Arabidopsis thaliana: one gene and its partners. The protein of the gene in region 2 interacts with the protein of the main gene of each other region in a pairwise test. Each region holds a gene or a part of one and is shown on either strand. Other genes may lie near its edges. The genes, in order: PYL1, TOE2, WRKY41 and SEC.

Region 1 (3,478 bases), 5.2 Mb from region 2:
AGATGGATCATCCAATTCTGGAGTCTCTAATAATCGGGAAAAAGAAATCGAGTACAGTTTATTTTTGTTGGTCAGGCACTTAGCCACTCAGGCTCATCAGACAAAGCGATGACCATAACATAATTATAATTAGGTGTATTGACAAAAAAAAAAAGAAAAAAAAAGGAGGATCATAATTAGATGTAAAAAATGGTGAGCTCTCTCCAAATTTTAAAATGAAAAATAAAAGAGTTCAAATTATAATGGGCTTTTTCGTCGTTCAAAGCCCTTTCCCCTTCAACAGTAATTAGTTTTTGAACGTAATAATGTTACTGGAGCGCGAAAACTTAAGCAAAATTAGCACAAAAATACAAAAATTAAATTTTACAACGAAATTGTAAATAAAAAAATAAAAAAAATTATTGAACAAAAAAAAAACTAATGCAACGGTTTTTTTTTTTAGGTTTTTTTTTTTGTCATTAACGCTAGAAAACAAATAATTTTGCGAATTTACGAATTGCCAAAATTGACTTATAAATACTGCCAATTTTCAGACATTAAGCTTTTATTCGTTTTATTATGAAAAGTTACTACACACAACACTATATTAAAACATACGCTATAAATAAATATGTATCGAAGAACAAAAAAAATATCATTATTTTTCCATCTGACCTAGAAATCTATTCCATGCATATATCATTTCAAATACAAAAATTGAATAAAACAAGAATACTAATAACCTACAAAATAGTACAATCTACACAACAGTTAAAGAAAACTAACTACTATAATTAGTATGTTATCATTCCTGTATAATTTATCTTGTCAACCAATTGAATAAACGAACTACTATAATTAGTATGTTATCATTCCTAATTCTATGATATAACAAGTATGTTATTAAATTTAACCTATCTCGACCATTCCAATTATCCAGGAGACTGATTTTTTTTAAAAAATAAAACATAACCATAAAATCAAACAAGGAAATTACAATTCAAGAGAAGAAAAAAAACGTTTTACAAATCAAAATAAAAATTAAAACTCCCCCAATTTAGAAACATTTTTCTTTCCCCCAAATTTCATCATTACCTAACCTGAGAAGAGTTGTTGTTGTTGTTGTTCCGGTTCATAGCTTCAGTGATCGAAGCAAGTTTCTGAAGATTCAATCTAATAACCGTATCAGCAAACAATCTCGTATCTTCCTCCGAATTACCTTCCGGTACATCAACAACATAAGATTCCAAAACAACGGTCCAGATCCTTTCTTCTTCTTCTTCTTTCTCAAATCTATGAACCGTCGTAACCGATTTATAATTCCTCAGCCTATGTTCACCACCGGTTATACTAAACCCAGTCACTCTCCGATCATCGTCCAACAGATCTAATCTCTCTCGAGACGTATTCGCCGGTAATCCACTTATCACGTTCACGTCGCGCGTGCATCCCACTCGCATCTCGAAATCTTCACTCACGTTACAGCTTTTGATGAAGTGTTTGTAAATCTGTGGCCTATCGAAACGTCTCACCACGGACCATACTGTTTCCGGCGGCGCGTGGATTCGCTGAGCTAGGAGAGATGAGCAACGGCCGTTACCGAGTTGGTACGTGTGGAACTCGGCGATTGATTGGGAGAGTTGGGTGAATTCGTCTTGAGTTAAATCGGAAGGCATGGTTTGGTGATGGAGTGTTGAGATTCTCTGGCTGTTCTCTTCTTCGTTTACTGGTGAGGAGGAGGACTCTGAATTCGCCATTGATATTGTTTGTTGAAACTTGAAAGAGAGAAGTTGAAAATTTGAAGGAAGAAGAAAGAGAAGAAGGGTATATTTGGAATTTAATAGACTTGAGTTTTTTTTAATGGCTATCACATAAATGTCATTAGGCACTGAATCTTTCTACTTTTAGTTGATAATTACTATATTTGTAGACACGTACATCAAAATTAGTAACTATTACAAATTTACGTAATATTTTTGTAGATTCTAAAATAATACTACAAAAAAAATATATATCCGTTCATTATAATAGATGGAATTATTTTGCTGAATTCGAAAAATCTGATTTAATTTAATGAACAATAACACACAGTTTAGTTAGACTTATCATATTATTCATCCATCTATATTCTGATTGAAATGTATAAACTATATAGTTAAAATTATATATATATGATACTAATTAAAAATATCTTGAACGAGTTAAACTATATAGTTAAAATTAGAATAACTCATTTTATCATATTCTTCATGAATTCCTACTATTTTATATTAATCATCACTTTGGTAAATATATTACAAATGAAATTGGTCAACTCGTAATAGAAATGCAATTAAATTATAAAATAAAAAATTATTTACGGGAGTTGAATTATTTTTTTGTTGGCAACCGTAGAAATTTTGATTAGATGCTCAAATATAGAATCATTATTTATTCGAATGCATTTAAAGGTTAGCCATTAGCCTTTGTTCGTGAAGCTATTATAAGCCTATACCTATATTACTTATCTTAATCTATAACTCCCAATTTCTCTCGAAACTAAATAATTGTAAAGATTAAAACAATTTTCAGTTACATAAAAAAAATATACTTGTAAAGATTAAAACATTTTACTTGTACTAGAGAATTTTTATCAAGTGATAATTAAATGTGAGCAACTGAGCATGAAGCCTCCGTGTCATATACTTACTAGTTTTGGCCATGTTTATTTATCTGCAACCGAAATGGGCAAATTACTTTTTTCTCTTATCACCTTGACTTTTGTTTTTTCTATTAAAATTATTTTTAATATTATGGCTGTGAATGGTGACTGCGTTTTGCGGTACGCAAAAAGTGCGGTGCGGTTCAAATAGTAATGAAAATCAGCACTGTTGCGATACGGTTTTAAGTGCGGTTTTGGTCACCATTCACAGCCTATAAATCATTATACTTTTGTCCAAAAAAAAATATAAAAAATCATTACAGTAAATAGTTTATTTTTTGTTACAAAGATATAATTGGGTACGTAAGAAGTAGAATCCAAGAGATACGGTAGGTACAAGTTATAAATCATAAAAAGTAGTCTCCAGCTGTTTTTTTTGGCGTCTTGTAGACATTTAATTTTTATGTCAAGTATATACTTGCACATTGCACTTGTATATCAAATTTGATGATTATAACAATGATTTAGTTAAATATCCAGAGTGTAAAATTATATTGCTAAACACTATACCTAAACGATTTTTCTATAAAATTTTATCATTACGCTAAATTAATTTTTTCAAAATTTTAAATGAAAAGGACAATAGTGCTCTCAAACTGGTATGATTAAATTTTCCTAAAGTTAAAGTTAGAAAATAATTAATATATTTATGAATAGATAGATTGCTATATATATTCTTTAGCATTATAGAGATAATAAAAGTATCAAAAAGTCCATTTGGTGGAATAATATTGATTCTGATCATTGCGAATTTTTTTATTCTAAAAGGCTTGAAAGAATTTTCAAATATAATATTTT
Region 2 (6,331 bases):
CTCTCAAGCTATGTAGTAGTCTTAGAGATTTAGACAATACTAATGAATACAAGATACCATAAGATTTGATACAATATGTTTGTGTTATCAACGTTTGATCGGATATGTGTTTTTTTTCTACTTATAGCTATTCATTCAATGAAAATCTAAAAGAAAATTGAGACACAGTTGATGCAGAGATAATTTTCTCTAGCCTTGATAGATTTTTACAATGTGATATTGTAGGAACTAGGAAACACATGCTTCATTTTTATTTAGGCCATGAATGTTTGTAGTTTTTAAAATGGTTTTTGGATTTTGGATTTTGGTTTTTGGTTTTTAGTTTTTGATTTTCTTGGTTTTTGTTTTTGGTGTAGATTTTAGTTTCTTAAAAAACTTGAATGGTAATTTGTTTAGATTTTGGTTTTTATGTTAATGGATAGTATTTTTTTTACAAAACAAATCTAAAAATAAAATAAAAAATGTGATCGATTGTTTTTGAGAGAGAAACTCCCAAAACATAGATTTTGGTTTTCTTTGAAAAATTGTTAAAACACTCAAAAACTAGATTTCCTATATTTTAGGAAAACTTGTTTTCTCAAAATCTTGAATGGCTACAAAATAGATTTTAGAAAAAATTAAAACCAAAAACTAGTTTAAAAACCACACTCATTCAAGGCCTTACTAAAACTTGGCTACAAACAAGGCGAAGATAACATACATCATTCAATTTCAATAGTAATTAATGTGTCAAAACCTTAGAAATTAAAACAAAATTTCATCACTATGTCCAGTAAGAAAAACTAAAGCTATCAAACCTGATGTTAGTGATTTTTTTCCCCATCATCTTTAACTATTTTCCATACACATTCGTTTTTGTAATAATAACAACTTCTTAAAATGATATAACTTTTGTTACTTTATGCATGTAATTGTTGATTATAGCTAGCTTCTACACCTTTTTCTAACATGTGACACATTTTTTTTTACATGTGACACATTTGTTACGTTGGTTGGATACTTGTTATCCATATAAATCAATAAAAAGTCATATTATTCTATCTCACTCTTTTAAGTCTTTACAGATTTTTGTTTGTGAGGAGGACGTAGCTGCAAATATAGGACCCGCCATTAAATGAAAACAAATGCTTTGTCTTCAAAGCTATGAATATGTGACTTCAAAGTGTTTTTTGGTTTTTATGTGTCTTCAAAGTTGTGAATATAATAGTGTAGATTCGCTTTTCTTTACCAATCTTTGTTTGCAGATTAATAATAAGATATACTATATAGGATACAAAAACGAATTTCGTTTGATTCATTCTATAAATTTGAATTACTAAATCACTTTAGTTGAGTTTGTTCAAGGATAAAAAGTGAAACCCCAATTAAATTTGATGATTTTCAGATGTGTTTACAAAATGTTTCGAAGAACACGCTTCAAATTGATTTAACCAAGATGAACACATCCATTAAATCCTCATTCCATGAACAAAATGCACCTCATTGTCCCTAGGCCTTAACAGATCTATTTAGTACTAATACTGTATTTAATAACTTATCTTGGTAAAGAAATCACAGAAAAGCTTAACACATACAGTTTAAACCGTAAATTTATCATAGTAAAACTGTAAAAGCACTAATCATAAATTTAAACCAAGCTAATAAAACAAAAACAAGTAGCACGTTTTTACTTCAAACCGGAAACAGGCAAAACCGGTATCAAATTGCCGAGAAAGATGGAAGGAATAAATAAATGTTAAAATGTTCCTTTGTTGCCACTAACCCACAGGCTTACGTCCCATCATCATTCCCCGTTCTCTTTTTATTTTCTCTAATCGCCGACGATTATCTCTTTCGTCCGGCGATAGCTATTTTGTCTCTTCAAATCCCCATAGACCAATACTCAACTCTTCATCTCCATGTCTCCTCAATCTCATTTCTCTCCTTAGTGATTGAGCTTTTTCCTTCTTTCTCTTTGGTTATTATTCCTTCTCCTCCTCCGTCGTGTTTTTGATTGATTTCAGAATCTAAATCTCCGTTTGATTTCTCCATACTCGTGCTGATTTTCACCTATGTAATGTGATTTATGAGCTCTGTTTATTTCAAATCGACGGCGATCGTTGAATTTATTGATCAATGTGTAAGTAAGAGCTTGAAGAAATAGTTTTTGTTGTTGTTGTGAAAGCTCAGAGTTTTGTTTGCTTTTTTGTTGACTTTTTTGAGATTGATGCTGGATCTCAATCTCGACGTCGACTCGACCGAGTCTACTCAGAACGAACGAGATTCGATTACTGTTAAAGGGGTTTCTTTGAATCAGATGGATGAATCGGTGACGTCGAACTCTTCTGTTGTTAATGCTGAAGCTTCTAGCTGTATAGATGGTGAAGATGAGTTGTGCTCTACACGAACGGTCAAGTTTCAATTTGAGATACTGAAAGGAGGAGGAGAAGAAGAAGAAGAAGATGATGATGAAAGAAGTGCTGTGATGATGACTAAGGAGTTTTTTCCTGTTGCTAAAGGCATGAACTTTATGGATTCGAGCGCTCAAAGTTCAAGGAGCACCGTTGATATTTCCTTCCAGAGGGGGAAACAAGGTGGAGACTTTATAGGTAGCGGGAGCGGTGGTGGCGATGCTTCACGGGTGATGCAGCCACCATCACAGCCGGTGAAGAAAAGCAGGAGAGGTCCTAGGTCTAAGAGTTCTCAGTATAGAGGCGTCACTTTCTATCGGAGGACAGGCAGATGGGAATCGCATATCTGGTATATCTACTACTGATTGATTTATCTTTTAGATAGGTCTTAGATGAGTTGTTGATCTTTGGTCGAAAATGGAAGAGCTTGGTTTAGATTTTGTATTAATCTACAAGTTTCTTTTTTGTCAATTTTCATGGTTGCAGGGATTGCGGTAAACAAGTTTATTTAGGTATGGATTCTAATGGCTGTACTACTGTGAACTGATTTCTGCTGGGATCTTAGTTCTCTAATAAAAGCTTTAACTTTTGAATTCAATAGGTGGATTTGATACTGCCCATGCTGCAGCTAGGTAATGCCTTTGGAAATGATATTTTTTTGTTTGATCTTATTGATCACTCAACTGTTTTTTCGTTATGATACAATTGTTTCCTAAGTTCAACTTTCGTTGGTGTAGGGCGTATGATCGAGCTGCTGTCAAATTCCGGGGTCTGGAAGCTGACATCAATTTCGTTATTGGCGATTATGAAGAGGATCTCAAGCAGGTTTTGATTACAGATGTACAAATGAAGACATGTACGCTTTGATTTGTTCTTATCTGGTTTTCAAACTTTACAGATGGCGAATCTTTCCAAAGAGGAAGTTGTGCAAGTACTTCGGCGACAGAGCTCTGGTTTCTCAAGGAATAATTCTAGATATCAAGGAGTTGCTTTGCAAAAGATTGGCGGGTGGGGAGCTCAAATGGAGCAGCTTCATGGAAACATGTAATTAACTTTTCCTGGGATCTAAGTATGGGCTTTTACAAATGCTATGTTATTTGTGTTTTTGTCTGAATGTGGTTGTCAGTCATTGCTAAAAAGAGTGGAGTGGTTCAGATGAAGAGTTTGGTAATTTTTCGTTAGTTGAAAAGGGCTTCTGTTAGAACCATTAGCAGGAAGACCCGTTTGTGATTATGAGTTATATATAGAGATTTTGATGGCTATGAGACATTTATATCTATCTTGGGATGATTGTCATCTGAGTATGAGCTGTACGCTAGTGATGGTTGTAAATTACATTATGAGGAAGTCTTTTATCCTGAATTATTGATCTATTAGGAAAATTCATGACTAATTGCTCAGATTCTTATGGAATTAGGGGTTGTGACAAGGCAGCCGTACAATGGAAGGGAAGGGAAGCTGCTTCCTTAATTGAGCCTCATGCATCCCGAATGATTCCCGAGGCAGGTAATGTAATTGATGTTCCTTGCTTGTTAAACTGGTCGATGCTATGCAGCTTTTGCTGTCATCATTGATATCTCTGCTCAATATTTGAAAAGCTACGACTAACTTGTTTTCCTGATCTTATTATTTAGCTAATGTTAAGCTCGACCTCAACTTGGGAATCTCTCTTTCACTAGGAGATGGTCCGAAGCAAAAAGATAGGGCCCTCCGGCTTCACCATGTCCCTAACAATTCCGTATGTGGAAGGAACACCATGGTGCAATTTTTTCTTCAGTGCACCAAATATGATTTACTTTACTTTCATATGCGTTTTGCTGCAACTGTTAGTCAAATGTTTCTTTGTCGATATGTCATAGCAATCTGGAACTCAAAGATACTGTCTCCTTTGCTAGCTCGAGCCCTCATGTTTTTTCATTTATTCATGAATTTCTTGCTCTTCATTTGATATACTCACAGATGGAGAACCACATGGCTGCAGCGGCATGTGATACGCCTTTCAATTTCTTGAAGAGGGGTTCAGACCATCTTAATAACCGGCATGCCCTTCCTTCTGCGTTCTTTTCACCCATGGTAAATAGTAAATACCATAGCACACATCTCGTTATATCCAACTGTTTGTCACTGCCTCACAATTTTTACCTTCTGTCCAGAACTAACATACAATATGAAATAGAATGACAATTTTAAATTTATCGAACTTTACCCTACCTATGAGTAATTTGTGTGATATGAAATTCAGCTAGATGTTCATCAAGTGGTTACTGTTGTGATATTTGATCAGTTAAGTACTTGAGCTCAACTCTTTGATATCCTTTGAGAACAGGTCTATGTTGTTGCTTGTTAGTTCTTCTTCTATGTTGTGATATTCTTGAAGATTTGAATGAATAATCTTCTGTCCTAAAAGTTAAATTCTTGTCTCCAGGAAAGAACACCAGAGAAAGGGCTTATGTTACGTTCTCATCAAAGCTTCCCAGCCAGGACATGGCAAGGGCATGATCAGTCCAGTGGTGGGACCGCCGTAGCAGCTACAGCACCGCCACTGTTTTCAAATGCAGCATCATCAGGATTCTCACTCTCAGCTACACGCCCTCCTTCATCCACAGCTATTCATCATCCTTCTCAGCCCTTCGTCAATCTGAATCAGCCCGGTCTCTATGTTATCCACCCATCTGATTACATATCTCAGCACCAACACAATCTCATGAACCGCCCACAACCACCACCATAGCTTCCTCCTTCCTCCGCATAACTCAAGGTAAGACTTTCTTGGAAACAACAACATTCAACTCATCGTTTGGCTCAGCACACAAGCTGTAGTTTCCTCTTCCTGTTATACGTTACGTTTACAATCCAAAAGAAAAAAAAAAAAAATTTTGATAGAAGACCACTAAAGAAAAAGAGTTTGAGATGTTTGTATTCATATGAATCTTGATGGAAACATGAAAAGTATGATGAATGCTTAGCGAATAGAAGAAGACTAAGGAAGAGTTCCAAGTTGTGTAGTATTATCACCCTCCTGTTTTCTGCTTCTCTGTCAATCTCAAACACATATTTGAGGCAATAGTTTTCCTAAGATCCTACAATACTACACGTAATAACATACTTTGTATGTGAACGTGCAGGTTCTACACAGCCCTGAGGTTGGAATAAGTTGGAAGGCCAGCCAAAACGACGCTGAATTCTCCCAAGATCTGTTGTACTTATTGTCATTGTGTGATTTATCTTTCTGCTTTTGATTTGTAACATAAACTGAGGGATAATACCAAAACAGAACCCAAACCCATTTGCCATTTTACTATAATGTCTCTGATATTAATATGAACAGCGTAAAGTACAATGCATTCTATATGTATGAATGAAGAAAGCTATTGAGACTTGAGAGACTATAAATTTGTATAGATCTGATAAGTTTTAGAAATTAAAAACTCTTACATTAATTCAATACACCACAATAATCTTGATTTAACTCCAAAACACGTAACTAAAGACAGAGAGATGGAGAGAGAGAGAGAGAGAGAGAGATATAAATAATCATCCACTGATAATGTGAATCTTGATTGTTTGAACCAGGTTATTATCACCAGTCTTCTTGATCTCAAATATCATCTTATCCGTTGTCTTCACTTTATTCCTTCTGATGATACTGCCAAATCCCTTGACAAACACACTACCATTTGTCTGAATCTTGATCTGCTTCTCCAATGTCCCGAATTTTTTCACAAGTGGATCGACAAGAGTGATACTCTCAGGGAAGTGCAAGTCATAGTCTTTGATAACCCGAGCTGGGATGAGCTGCTTTATGAAAAAAAACATCATAAAAACTCACAACCCAACGATGTTAAATGAAAAGCTCTTTCACATTCAGTTTTTACTTACCAGTTGGCTTTTCTTCTTCGGATTAAGGATCAGAGTAAAAGATGGGTTCTCACGATCATCCA
Region 3 (3,963 bases), on a different chromosome or scaffold from region 2:
CGAGAATGTTGATCCTAACAAACCCAAAAAGCCTACTTCTTCATACTTTCTCTTCTGGTATATACTTTAAAACCCTGAATCCACAAAACAATCAGATGCTAAACTGGTTTTATAATCTCAAATCTTTTTACAGCAAAGACGCAAGAAAGAGTGTGTTAGAAGAACATCCTGGGATCAACAACTCAACTGTTACTGCTCACATTTCATTGAAATGGATGGTATATTATAAATCATGAAACTCGAATCCAACGAGTAAGATTTTATCACTGTTAGTTGTGAAATTGAGTTGGTTTTGGTTACAATTTTGTTGTAGGAACTTGGTGAAGAGGAGAAACAAGTTTACAATAGCAAAGCTGCTGAGTTAATGGAAGCTTACAAGAAAGAAGTGGAAGAGTACAATAAGACCAAGACTTCGTCGTAGAGAAAGAAAAATTAGAGAATGTTCAAGTTTGCTCATATTGAACATCTCTACTTATGCAAAATGACTCTGCTACTTAAATCGCTAGGCGCTAATCGGGATTATATTAATCTCAAGAATATTCAATACTGTACTACTTAAATCGAATTGTGGAAAAAAGTGGGGAAGCCTGTGTTAATCTCAGCCGTTGGATCAAATTGAAAATTAACGTCGAAGATTGGAGAACTTCCTGTGGAAGTATTTGTTGAGATCAATCCAGTGAAATCCGACGGACCAGAACTTCCCACGTGGTGGTAAAACGTTCCACCACCGTTGATGGACTCGTAAGTGTATAACGGCGACGTGACGGGGAATGAGAAAGCTTCGCTTCCAAGTCCGCCGGTACGTACGGTAAGACTGGCCCTGAGATTCTGGTAATTTACTGCTACTGTGTGTTTTGGTTTGGTTTCTCGTTTCTCTGGAAGTGGGATCCCCTGTGAACAAGTGTGTGTTCCTCTGTATGTTACTTCGAAGATCGTTGGATCACCGTCCGATCTTTGGACTTGTTTCGTAGCCCAACAGTACTGTGTGTTACGAAATGTGCATCTGTAATAACTCCTGCAATAAAAACACAAATTAGTCCTAAATTAGTAAAACTAAAACTAATTTTTTCTTCTTCTTAAAGCCACGTAAATTTAGCCAAAAAAAACTATCTGATTATATACAAATCCGACCTTCATATAGCAAACTCGGATAATAATTTTAAATATCTAATTTATCTTGTATTATATTCAGAATTATTCATTACATATTCGATATTTAAATTATGCAAAATAGTTTTTAATATGAGAATACACTTTGAATAGTAATTTTAGGTATATATTACTCATATAATTATACTCAACATTTATCCGCTGCTATTAACCAATCTTTTAACAAATGTACTATTCGTAAACATGATGATTATGATGATGATGATAGAGTATGATGATGTACCTTGGGAATTTGGCGCCCAAAATGTCTTTCTGGCCATATTTTCTCCAGCTGAAGATATCGTCATGAGGTCCTTCTAAGCCTCTCTCTGGGCTAATTCTCACTTGCTCTGTCCACTTTGGCAACATCTTCCTGCAAATTTTCATTAATTGTCAAATCTCTAATTCAAAAAATCTGGCTATTTTTTTTGAATTCTAATATTATTATTATTATTATTAAATTTTAATAAGCTTTTCTCTTCTTTATAACGCTAATTTAAGTTCAAATTTTTACCTCTTTTTAGAACTTAAGTTGAATTCTTTCGATCTTACATTGAAAAACTCTTCGCTTCTCGGATTTCCGGTGATCGATGCTGGAGATCCTGGAACCTTTCCGGGATGAGCTAGGGGATCAGGCGCAAGCTCTATCGTTGGATTGTGTTGTGTGGTGGATCCGTTGAGCATCAAAATAGCTTTTTTGAAGGAAGAAACTATGTTATGTAAGAGATTCTCCTTTATCTCCGTCGTCAAATATGAAGAAGAAGCTGACAACGATGGAGAAGACGAACCCTGAAGCTGCTTGGCCGCTTTTAGTCCATGAATTAGCTCGTTTAGCAAACTCCTCCGCTCCCAATTCATCATTTCCATGTTACTTTTAGTGTCTTGAGTAAATTCGAAAGGCGGTAAAACCCCGGTTTACGGTGACCGGAAGAAATAGTTATGAATTTTTTGGAAAAACTTTTGACATTGAAGGTGAAGAGATGTGATAGCTTTTTAACTTTTTTATAGTAAGGTTTAGATTAAGAACATGTGATTGTGGTTTAGGAAAAAGATGTGAGATTTTTGGTATTTGAATGATGAGAATGTACTAAAACGAAGCGTGTTCTTTTGGAATTTAAAGGTTTTAAAAGATATGTTTGAAAATTTGACCAAGTGAGCAAACTATTAAACAAATAGGAAAAAGATTCAAAGTTGAGAAAGTCTTTGGTCTTCATTAAGAATATATCGTTTCAGAGTGTATAAGTGGTGGTGTTTACTATAGGTCAAATGCTGACCAAATCAACTTTGGGTTTATTTTAGTTTAACCAAGTTGATTAGTTATTTAAATCTAGTGGTTTACTAAATAATTATATTATTAGGATAGAAATAAACTGTACCTTTTCCAAGTATTAACTTTGTTAAGGTTCTTTTTCAATATCTATCTGCAAAATGTACTATTACATTGATTTCTATTTTGGTAGCAACAAACCATTTCTTGTATAACTTGTTATTCTATTGACGACAACCGTTTTTGTATCATTTATTTTGTTTGTGTTCAACATCTTCAGATAGTCTACCAGATTTAAATATGAAATATATAGCATAGCAGACTAGCAGTTATAGCACAAATATTAGATACCAAATCTCAATTATAAAATATAGTACAAAATCAGGATGAGCTAACTAAATAAGTTCAACTGTATTTTGACATTCTAATTAATTTCTAACATTTAAAGATGTAAACAAAATTCCATGATATCTTAGAAAGTTACAGTATGATTGTATGAAATGAACCATAAACTATTACAGAGAAAAGTGAGATGACACATACATTCATAATTCAATACAAGATCGTAAAAAAAGGTTTCTGCTGACCAAGTCCATCCATCGTCAAAGACTCAAAGTGTATCAAATTAAAAGAAGTTCCATCTGAAATTCCATATCTCATGATTGATCTGTAACTTTACTGCCATTAGTTGATTTTTTGTCTTAATGGACTTGGAAGATTAGTTTTTGCTATAACATATTGAAAGTATATCCGTTTTCATTACTAAGTCCACGTACCTACGTGTTGTGTAAAGTTAAATACGTTAATGTGACATTGTGATGCATTAGTGTATACTTAAACTATAAACAAATATTTAGAGTCTTAAAAATCTTATCTTATTATATAAAGTATGGTTTTCAAAGTTTCTAACTCATAGGATCGTGTCCACGTGTCAAGTCAAACGATCAGATGTTTACATGTGTCATTTAAAATTTAACTTTTTTATTCTCTTAAAAAAATAGAAAATCTTAAAAAGTAAACAAATTTACATATGCTAATTAAGTTACTAACTCATAGAATCGTGCCACGTGTCAAGTCAAACGATCAGATGTTTACATTTGTCATTCAAAATTTAATTTTTTTATTCTCTTAAAAAAAATAGAATCTTATTATATAAAAATTAAGATACAAAAATTTAACTTTTTTATTCTCTTAAATTCAGCATCTGCTATTTAGGCGGGTCTAAGATACAAAAATTAAGTTTTATCGATAGAAATTTGTATAATAATCAATATATTTTTCTTGATATTTAATTTAATAATTATTGGTTTAAACAAAATTTCAGTCTTATCCATTCTATTTTAATTATACACACTCAATCTTATGAATGATATTTGAATTCTAAAAAGTAACCGATCATCATTCTATATTTAATTTAATATCTAGAAAAGAAAAAGAAAAAATAAATTTATATCTTACACATTCAATTTTGTAATACAGTTTAACTATCTATGTCATCATAATAAACTCGATTTAAATTCTACACACTTCATATTGAATGATAACAT
Region 4 (7,585 bases), on a different chromosome or scaffold from region 2:
TATATGCAATCGGCATGTCAGCCAATGGTCCTGTATCCATTTCCAAGATCTTGCTCCACGACACTTTATCATACTCGATCTTAGTCGTGATCCATATCTCAAACTCATATGGATTCCAGTCGTTGTGCGTAAGTAAAGCCGCAAGCTTCTCTTCTCTAACACAAGATAAAGTCACATAGTCATCATGGCCAGCGCTAAACGGTAGACGCAAAAGTGGCCCAAATCTCTCACTTGTGAAATCAAAACAGATTATGTGATCGTCGATTTTGTTTATTGCGTTACTTTTTGTAGCACAAAAGTAGGTATTTCCCTTGAGAGAAACACCACGCTGATAACACGATACTATCCAATATGGAGGGACATCAAGAGTTGTCCATAAATCGGTTTCAATATCGTAGATTTCATACCATGAAAACCGGTTTTCGGGTGCGTGGTTCACGGCCGAAGAGATGTAATGATCTATAAACCTCAAGACTTTGTGGCTACGACAAGAGTTGTTCTTGTTCACGTACCCTAGAGCGTACCTGTACATGTCCATATCCTGTTCTACGCGGTGCTGCTTCTTTACTAATGTGCAGCTTCATAAAGCTCTGACTTTGGGATAAAGCGTACAACGTTTTGCAAGTTAATTTCAATGTCCTCATATACTTCATGGGAAGTCTAGATACAATATCCTCTATCAAATCCCTTGGAAGATTTAAGATCATCGTTGTCGTTTTCTCAAGTTGCAACAAGGTTTTTTTTTTTTTAACCTTAAAAAAGTGTTCTTCTTTTCCTCTGATTTTTTTCCCGCAGAAGACTATACATAGGAATTTGAAGTTGGGCCCAATCGTGGGCTTCAGAATCTTCTCTTGTTTTCTTTTTGGTAATCACATTCATAACATCCAAGTTCTTTACCAACAATGACCATTTGTATGGGGAGAGCATCAAGTTTGTATGAAGCTGGGCTAACTATGGGCTTATTGGAATTTAAAACAGTATCTTAAATTCCATCTTTAATTGAAACATTTGATAAGTGGAAGCTGCCAAAACACGCGTCCATCTTTAATTAAAATCAAATGTGAATTGTTTTCATTTTTGTGACATTTAATATTTACTTCTAGAAAAAGAAGATCAAGTAAACATGCAGTTAAGTTCAAATAAGATTAGAATTGTGATACCCTTGAATTCGATTTAGTATGCAATTTTTTTGTATTTAAAGAAAATATATTGGAGTAGACAAAGAGAGGAAGATATTGTAAATTTTTTGTTATTTTCTTTTCTCAATATATTTAAGGTAATTAATCAGGATTACGTTTTATTGTTGGCACATTTAATGCCTTTGCGGCACTATTTGGGAAAGATTAAAGATTGTTTTTGGGTGGATTGTAAATTACAACCTTTGAGAAGAAAACACTGTTGCGTCTTAGACACGTGTTAACTAAAGACAAAAGAATTTGGTTTTGTCCAGATTTTTGTTGACTCTTTGACCCCGATACGTAAAATCAACGGCGTTGAAATTTACACGTGTCAAATATTAAGTCTAATTATATGTGTGAAATCTTGATTGGTCGGAAAGAGGAAATTGAAAAAAAGGCAAATAAAAGCTAAAGAGGAAAGACGAAGCTACAGCTTCTGAGGTCGGAAAAAACGAATTTTGATAATTTAGGGTTTTGCCCTTTTCTTCTCTCTTGCGTTATCATCGGTGTTTTGATTCTCCGGCCAAGTCCCGGAGACTTGTGATCTGGGGGAATTTGGTGTTCAATTTCATTAAGACGCGATGATCTCGTCCAAAAACGGAGCTGCCATGATCTCCCGACCTGTCTTTCTTTCCGATCGAGTTGATGAAGTCTTCTCTAGAAAGCTTGATTTGTCTGTCTCTTCTTCGTCTTCTTCGAGCCTCCTCCAGCAGTTCAATAAGACTCATGAAGGTTCTGATTTGTCACGAGCTTAAATTTTTGTTTTTTTTCGATGTCCCTTCTTTGTGTAATCGCATCTTCACAGCTGATCCTTGTGGAAGTTAGTTTCCATCTGTTTTACTAAGAACACTAGGTTGTGCGATCTAATTTTCCTTTTCTAGGTATAATTGTTATGTTACAATTCAAAGATCATTAGATTTGGTGAAATCAAACTTGCTACTAACTGCTACTTGACTTTTGGGAATTCTACTTTTGGGCGAGCAAAGTTTTTAGCTTTGTTATTTGGTTTGTTCGTTTTAGGATAAAAAAGCTAACTTCTTTTGGGAGAATGTGACTGGTAATGATTGTGCTGATGTTTACTGTAAGCGTTTCGTGCAGGTGATGATGACGCACGCCTGGCTCTTGCTCATCAGCTATACAAAGGAGGCGATTTCAAACAAGCCCTGGAGCACAGCAACATGGTTTACCAGAGAAACCCATTACGCACTGATAATCTTCTTCTAATTGGTGCTATTTATTACCAGGTACTATTTTTCTCCTTATCTCATTAGTCATTACTCTATCCTCTTGTTTTCGGTTAATTAGTTGTTTACTTGTATGGTATATACCGTGCAGCTTCAAGAGTATGATATGTGCATAGCTCGAAATGAAGAAGCTCTTCGTATTCAACCTCAGTTTGCTGAGTGTTATGGAAACATGGCAAACGCGTGGAAGGTGAATGGCTTGGTCTTTGTCTGATCAGGTGGTTTTATTGCCAATACATATATTCTTATATCTGTAATCTGCTATTTCCAGGAAAAAGGGGACACTGATCGTGCAATCCGCTACTATTTAATTGCAATTGAGGTTGTGCTATATCCAATTTATGCTTCTCGATATCTGCTATTCACTTCTCATCCTATACTGATGCTTTTACCTTTCTTCATTTCCCCTTGCTTACACTTTCTTTTCAATATAATTCTTCAGCTGAGGCCCAATTTTGCTGATGCTTGGTCGAACTTGGCAAGTGCATACATGCGAAAGGGAAGACTCAGTGAGGCAACACAATGCTGTCAGCAGGCCCTCTCATTGAATCCACTTCTGGTAATTGACTTTATGATCCTTCTTTTTAAGTTTTCTGTCTCACTACTGCTGGGAGATTCACTGTCTATCTTCTTTTGTTAGTCTTCTCACCTGGTAATGTAAACTGTTCTTAGGTTGACGCACATAGTAATCTGGGGAATCTGATGAAGGCTCAAGGATTGATTCATGAAGTAAGTCTTTCGAATTAGTCTATTTAAGTTATTCTGTTACTGTTCCAACCCGATTATCTGCAATTTTCTTGTGTCCTAGTTATGGATGCGGCCCCTAATTCTACAATTGATTGATCAAAGTTTTGTCATTGCAGAAGAACTTTTAATTGAACCAAAATATATTATAATTAAATGGACGGTGACGTGATGCACTAGGAATATAGCATCACATCTGTAGTCATTTTACTGGTTTATCAACTGCAATTACTAATAGATGCATTCATTTTTCTGTGTTGTACTGTGTCATAATCCACAATCAATACAGACATCAAGTTGTTACTGAAAGGCAAGCAGGGATGATCGTCAGTCTTATAGTCAGTGTCTACTGCCAGAGTCCAAATAGTTAGAATGTAATATTTTGTGCAGGCATACAGTTGTTACCTTGAAGCTGTTCGTATACAACCAACATTTGCTATTGCATGGTCGAATCTTGCTGGTCTTTTCATGGAGTCAGGTGATCTCAACAGAGCCCTTCAATACTACAAGGTATGCTTCATTCTCTCCTAGAAAGATCCTGTTGACATTGTGTTATGTGTGCGTTTGTCCCCCAGATTAAATTCTTTATGTTTTAACTATGTTGGCTGATTTTCTTAATTTACCAGGAAGCTGTGAAGTTGAAACCTGCATTCCCTGATGCATATTTAAATTTAGGAAACGTGTATAAGGTATGTCTACGTATAGTGTGTTAAGATATGTTCAGTGCAATAATGTTTTCTGGACAATAGTAGTAACAAAATTTTATATTTCTATGTCTTAAGGCCCTCGGGAGACCTACTGAAGCGATCATGTGTTATCAGCATGCCTTACAGATGCGGCCAAATTCTGCAATGGCATTTGGTGAGTGTAATTTGATCAACTAAATGCTCAGCTGAAATAAAATATACTTGCCAAGTAAATGCGTGACGTCTTTCATAATTGACATATAACTACTAAATGCAGGGAATATAGCCAGTATATACTATGAGCAAGGTCAACTAGATTTAGCAATTCGACACTACAAGCAGGCTCTCTCCCGGGATCCACGATTTTTGGAGGCTTACAATAACTTGGTTAGCATCAACAACACACATTTTGTGGGTTTTGTGTCTGAACTATAATTCTCAGTATCTAACATATGATATTTTTTGCATTTGGAACTTGAAGGGTAATGCATTGAAGGATATTGGGCGAGTTGATGAAGCAGTTCGGTGTTATAATGTATGTGTGTTTTCCATCTGAGACTTACTAGTGAATTTGCGTATTACTCACAAACCTGTGGTTATACTGCAGCAATGTCTTGCTTTACAACCAAATCATCCACAAGCCATGGCTAATCTTGGAAACATTTATATGGAGTGGTATGTGATCCTTTCTTTCTTTTTGCTAGATAGAAAAGACTAAATGACCATAAAATCCATTTCACAACTTGAAACAGGAATATGATGGGTCCTGCTTCCTCATTATTCAAGGCTACTCTGGCTGTAACTACAGGGCTATCTGCTCCGTTCAATAACCTTGCTATAATTTACAAGCAACAGGTAGCTACGTGCTCCATTATCAATTTTTAATCATTTTTGTAGTCTTGCTCATGTTTGACAAATTTAGCTTGTTTTCTTCTCCTTTACTACAGGGAAATTACTCGGATGCTATATCCTGCTATAATGAGGTTCTTCGTATTGACCCATTGGCAGCTGACGCTCTGGTTAATAGAGGGAATACTTACAAAGAGATCGGGAGGGTAACTGAAGCAATTCAGGATTACATGCATGCTATAAACTTCCGGCCTACAATGGCTGAAGCTCACGCAAACCTGGCCTCAGCTTACAAGGATAGGTAACCATTGTCTTTATCTTTCATTTATTAGGTATACCAGACACATGTTCAAATACCGCTTAGCTAAGAACAGAGCCAAAACATCTTTACCTTGAACGAAAAGATCTGACTCGAGAAGAATTTTGTGTATTTCATGGTTCTTGAATAGCTTATGGTGTCATATATCTTAAAATTACTTACAATTTTCCTACTTCACTAGAAGCCTTTATATCTCTACGTACAGTTCTTAAGGTGGTTTCGTGTTAGGCTCTTGTTTTCTGGGATTTAGAACATTTAAGATGTGGCAGTATAACAATGAGTTAATGACCACCTTTTAACTGAGGAGTTAGTATGTTTGACCAGAAAAATATTTGTTCTACTATTAATGTATTTGTTGCACCTTCTTGCATAAGCAGTGGGCATGTAGAAGCTGCCATTACGAGCTATAAGCAGGCCTTGCTTCTACGACCAGACTTCCCAGAAGCAACGTGCAACCTTCTACACACCTTACAGGTATTTATTTTTCCTGGTTTGATGTCACACGTCTGTTATGATAGCTTCTTTCTTCTCTACTTGTTAATTCTCCCTTCGTCTCCATTTTTTCTTTCCTGCTGCTGAACCAGTGTGTATGCTGTTGGGAGGACCGTAGCAAAATGTTCGCTGAAGTTGAAAGCATTATTAGGAGGCAAATAAATGTAAGTATTTACGCCACACAAAATTTGTGGTACTTATATACTATTACAGATTAAGGTGATAGCATATCCTATTGATCCTATCTTCAGATGTCGGTCCTTCCAAGTGTCCAGCCCTTCCATGCAATAGCATATCCTATTGACCCTATTCTTGCCCTTGAAATCAGGTTTGAGGCTGATTTTTTAATACTCAATACTCATGAAAATACATGTTTATATTATCTTTATGTATATGCCTATTTCTTATAAATCCCCTATTTTTTCAGTCGTAAATACGCTGCACACTGCTCCATAATCGCTTCTCGTTTTGGACTACCTCCTTTTACCCATCCAGCTGGGCTCCCTGTAAAACGTGAGGGAGGATTTAAGAGATTAAGGATTGGATACGTGAGCAGTGATTTTGGTAACCATCCGTTGTCACACCTCATGGGATCAGTGTTTGGGATGCACAACAGAGAAAACGTTGAGGTTTGTATCCTGCACTTGGATACTTGTTGATCCATTTCTTAGGTCTGCTCTGATTTTATATCGAGAGTTTGAGTTCTTCAACCCAGTGTTTTCTAGTGAGGCTATAAAATTCGTACATGCTGGGTTTAGTTCTTATGATGGTAGGAATGTATGGAACCGTACGGGTCCTGTGTGTGGAATATAGAACTTTAGTAATTGATGGTATATCATTCTGTATCTGCCTATCCTGTTTTTGGCTTTTCAGCAAAGTAAATCACATTTTTTCCCAGGTTTTCTGCTATGCTCTGAGTGCAAATGATAATACTGAGTGGAGACAGCGAATCCAGTCAGAAGCCGAGCATTTCCTGGACGTTTCTGCTATGTCATCTGATGCTATCGCCAAAATTATAAACCAAGACAAAATCCAGATCCTCATCAATCTAAACGGTTATACCAAGGCATGCATGCTCTGAACATTTCAGAAACTTTTTACTCTGGAGCTGTACCCATTCCTATGGAAATGTTTTTGCTAACATTGTTTGGTTTAACCTATGCAGGGGGCTAGAAATGAAATATTTGCCATGCAGCCTGCTCCGATCCAGGTTTCATATATGGGCTTCCCGGGTACCACTGGAGCAACCTATATTGACTATCTAGTGACTGATGAGGTTTGCAATTGAATTATAGTTTTCTAGATATCTTCAGAACATTTTTTTTTTCCAACCTTATTTTTTCTCTATGTCATGACTGGTTACTCTCTTTTACTTTTCAGTTCGTGTCTCCTCTGCAATATGCACATATTTACTCAGAGAAGCTGGTCCACCTTCCCCATTGCTACTTTGTCAATGATTACAAGCAGGTATGCTCCGAGAAAGTTTTCTTTACCATGTTATTGTACATTCATCAGGTCCACAGTTATTTTTATAAAACTCATCGTATAAATGCTGTTTGCAGAAAAATCAGGATGTGTTGGATCCAAATTCGAAGCCCAAGCGATCAGACTATGGACTTCCTGAAGACAAATTCATATTTGCATGCTTCAACCAACTGTACAAAATGGATCCTGAGATCGTTAATACTTGGTAAACGTTTTTCCTTAGCTTTGCAAGTTTGTTTGGAAATTTACGTATGACACCTTACACCATCATGATACCATAAATAACACTCTGTATAGATGTAAATTTATACATGCACAAACTGATTTGTTTTTATTTTTTTATAGGTGCAACATTCTTAAACGAGTACCCAACAGTGCTCTTTGGCTTCTCCGTTTTCCAGCAGCCGGAGAGATGAGGTTTCGCACATGTACGTTTGGTTCCATTCAATCGCCTAGCATTTCCTTGTTCTTTCTGCTTTCTCTATCGTTTATAACCTTATTTTTTTGACCTTATATCCAGATGCTGCTGCCCAAGGTGTACAGCCTGATCAAATTATCTTCACTGATGTTGCCATGAAGAGTGAACAT

What was found.
Region 1: the proteins of TOE2 (region 2) and PYL1 interact in binary tests that used the Arabidopsis thaliana proteins (3 or more experiments, as listed by UniProt).
Region 3: the proteins of TOE2 (region 2) and WRKY41 interact in binary tests that used the Arabidopsis thaliana proteins (3 or more experiments, as listed by UniProt).
Region 4: the proteins of TOE2 (region 2) and SEC interact in binary tests that used the Arabidopsis thaliana proteins (3 or more experiments, as listed by UniProt).

The regions. Positions count from the first base shown.
Region 1 is NC_003076.8:18,982,993-18,986,470, forward strand, and holds PYL1 (PYR1-like 1), read right to left. Parts: upstream 1,926-3,478; 5' UTR 1,737-1,925; coding exon 1,071-1,736; 3' UTR 548-1,070; downstream 1-547. UniProt on the Arabidopsis thaliana protein: Receptor for abscisic acid (ABA) required for ABA-mediated responses such as stomatal closure and germination inhibition. Inhibits the activity of group-A protein phosphatases type 2C (PP2Cs) when activated by ABA. Can be activated by both (-)-ABA and (+)-ABA.
Region 2 is NC_003076.8:24,205,947-24,212,277, forward strand, and holds TOE2 (target of early activation tagged (EAT) 2), read left to right. Parts: upstream 1-1,742; 5' UTR 1,743-2,206; coding exon 2,207-2,739; intron 2,740-2,876; coding exon 2,877-2,902; intron 2,903-2,991; coding exon 2,992-3,022; intron 3,023-3,127; coding exon 3,128-3,215; intron 3,216-3,288; coding exon 3,289-3,434; intron 3,435-3,807; coding exon 3,808-3,896; intron 3,897-4,024; coding exon 4,025-4,215; coding exon of another isoform or gene 4,216-4,338; exon of another isoform or gene 4,339-4,349; coding exon 4,350-4,463; intron 4,464-4,632; exon of another isoform or gene 4,633-4,815; coding exon 4,816-5,121; 3' UTR 5,122-5,148; exon of another isoform or gene 5,149-5,515; 3' UTR 5,516-5,797; downstream 5,798-6,331. Other genes in the region: AT5G60130 (AP2/B3-like transcriptional factor family protein), read right to left, coding at 5,925-6,185, 6,270-6,331.
Region 3 is NC_003075.7:6,757,356-6,761,318, reverse strand, and holds WRKY41 (WRKY family transcription factor), read right to left. Parts: upstream 2,222-3,963; 5' UTR 2,017-2,221; coding exon 1,664-2,016; intron 1,523-1,663; coding exon 1,394-1,522; intron 1,042-1,393; exon of another isoform or gene 1,016-1,041; coding exon 556-1,015; 3' UTR 525-555; downstream 1-524. Other genes in the region: 3xHMG-box1 (HMG (high mobility group) box protein), read left to right, coding at 1-57, 134-218, 314-421. UniProt on the Arabidopsis thaliana protein: Transcription factor. Interacts specifically with the W box (5'-(T)TGAC[CT]-3'), a frequently occurring elicitor-responsive cis-acting element.
Region 4 is NC_003074.8:1,114,897-1,122,481, reverse strand, and holds the start of SEC (Tetratricopeptide repeat (TPR)-like superfamily protein), read left to right. Parts: upstream 1-1,548; 5' UTR 1,549-1,759; coding exon 1,760-1,910; intron 1,911-2,276; coding exon 2,277-2,422; intron 2,423-2,513; coding exon 2,514-2,612; intron 2,613-2,693; coding exon 2,694-2,744; intron 2,745-2,864; coding exon 2,865-2,981; intron 2,982-3,094; coding exon 3,095-3,151; intron 3,152-3,324; exon of another isoform or gene 3,325-3,556; coding exon 3,557-3,676; intron 3,677-3,792; coding exon 3,793-3,855; intron 3,856-3,948; coding exon 3,949-4,027; intron 4,028-4,129; coding exon 4,130-4,239; intron 4,240-4,333; coding exon 4,334-4,387; intron 4,388-4,459; coding exon 4,460-4,527; intron 4,528-4,604; coding exon 4,605-4,707; intron 4,708-4,799; coding exon 4,800-5,002; intron 5,003-5,397; coding exon 5,398-5,494; intron 5,495-5,604; coding exon 5,605-5,676; intron 5,677-5,763; coding exon 5,764-5,840; intron 5,841-5,939; coding exon 5,940-6,141; intron 6,142-6,410; coding exon 6,411-6,578; and 10 more. Other genes in the region: AT3G04250 (F-box associated ubiquitination effector family protein), read right to left, coding at 1-532.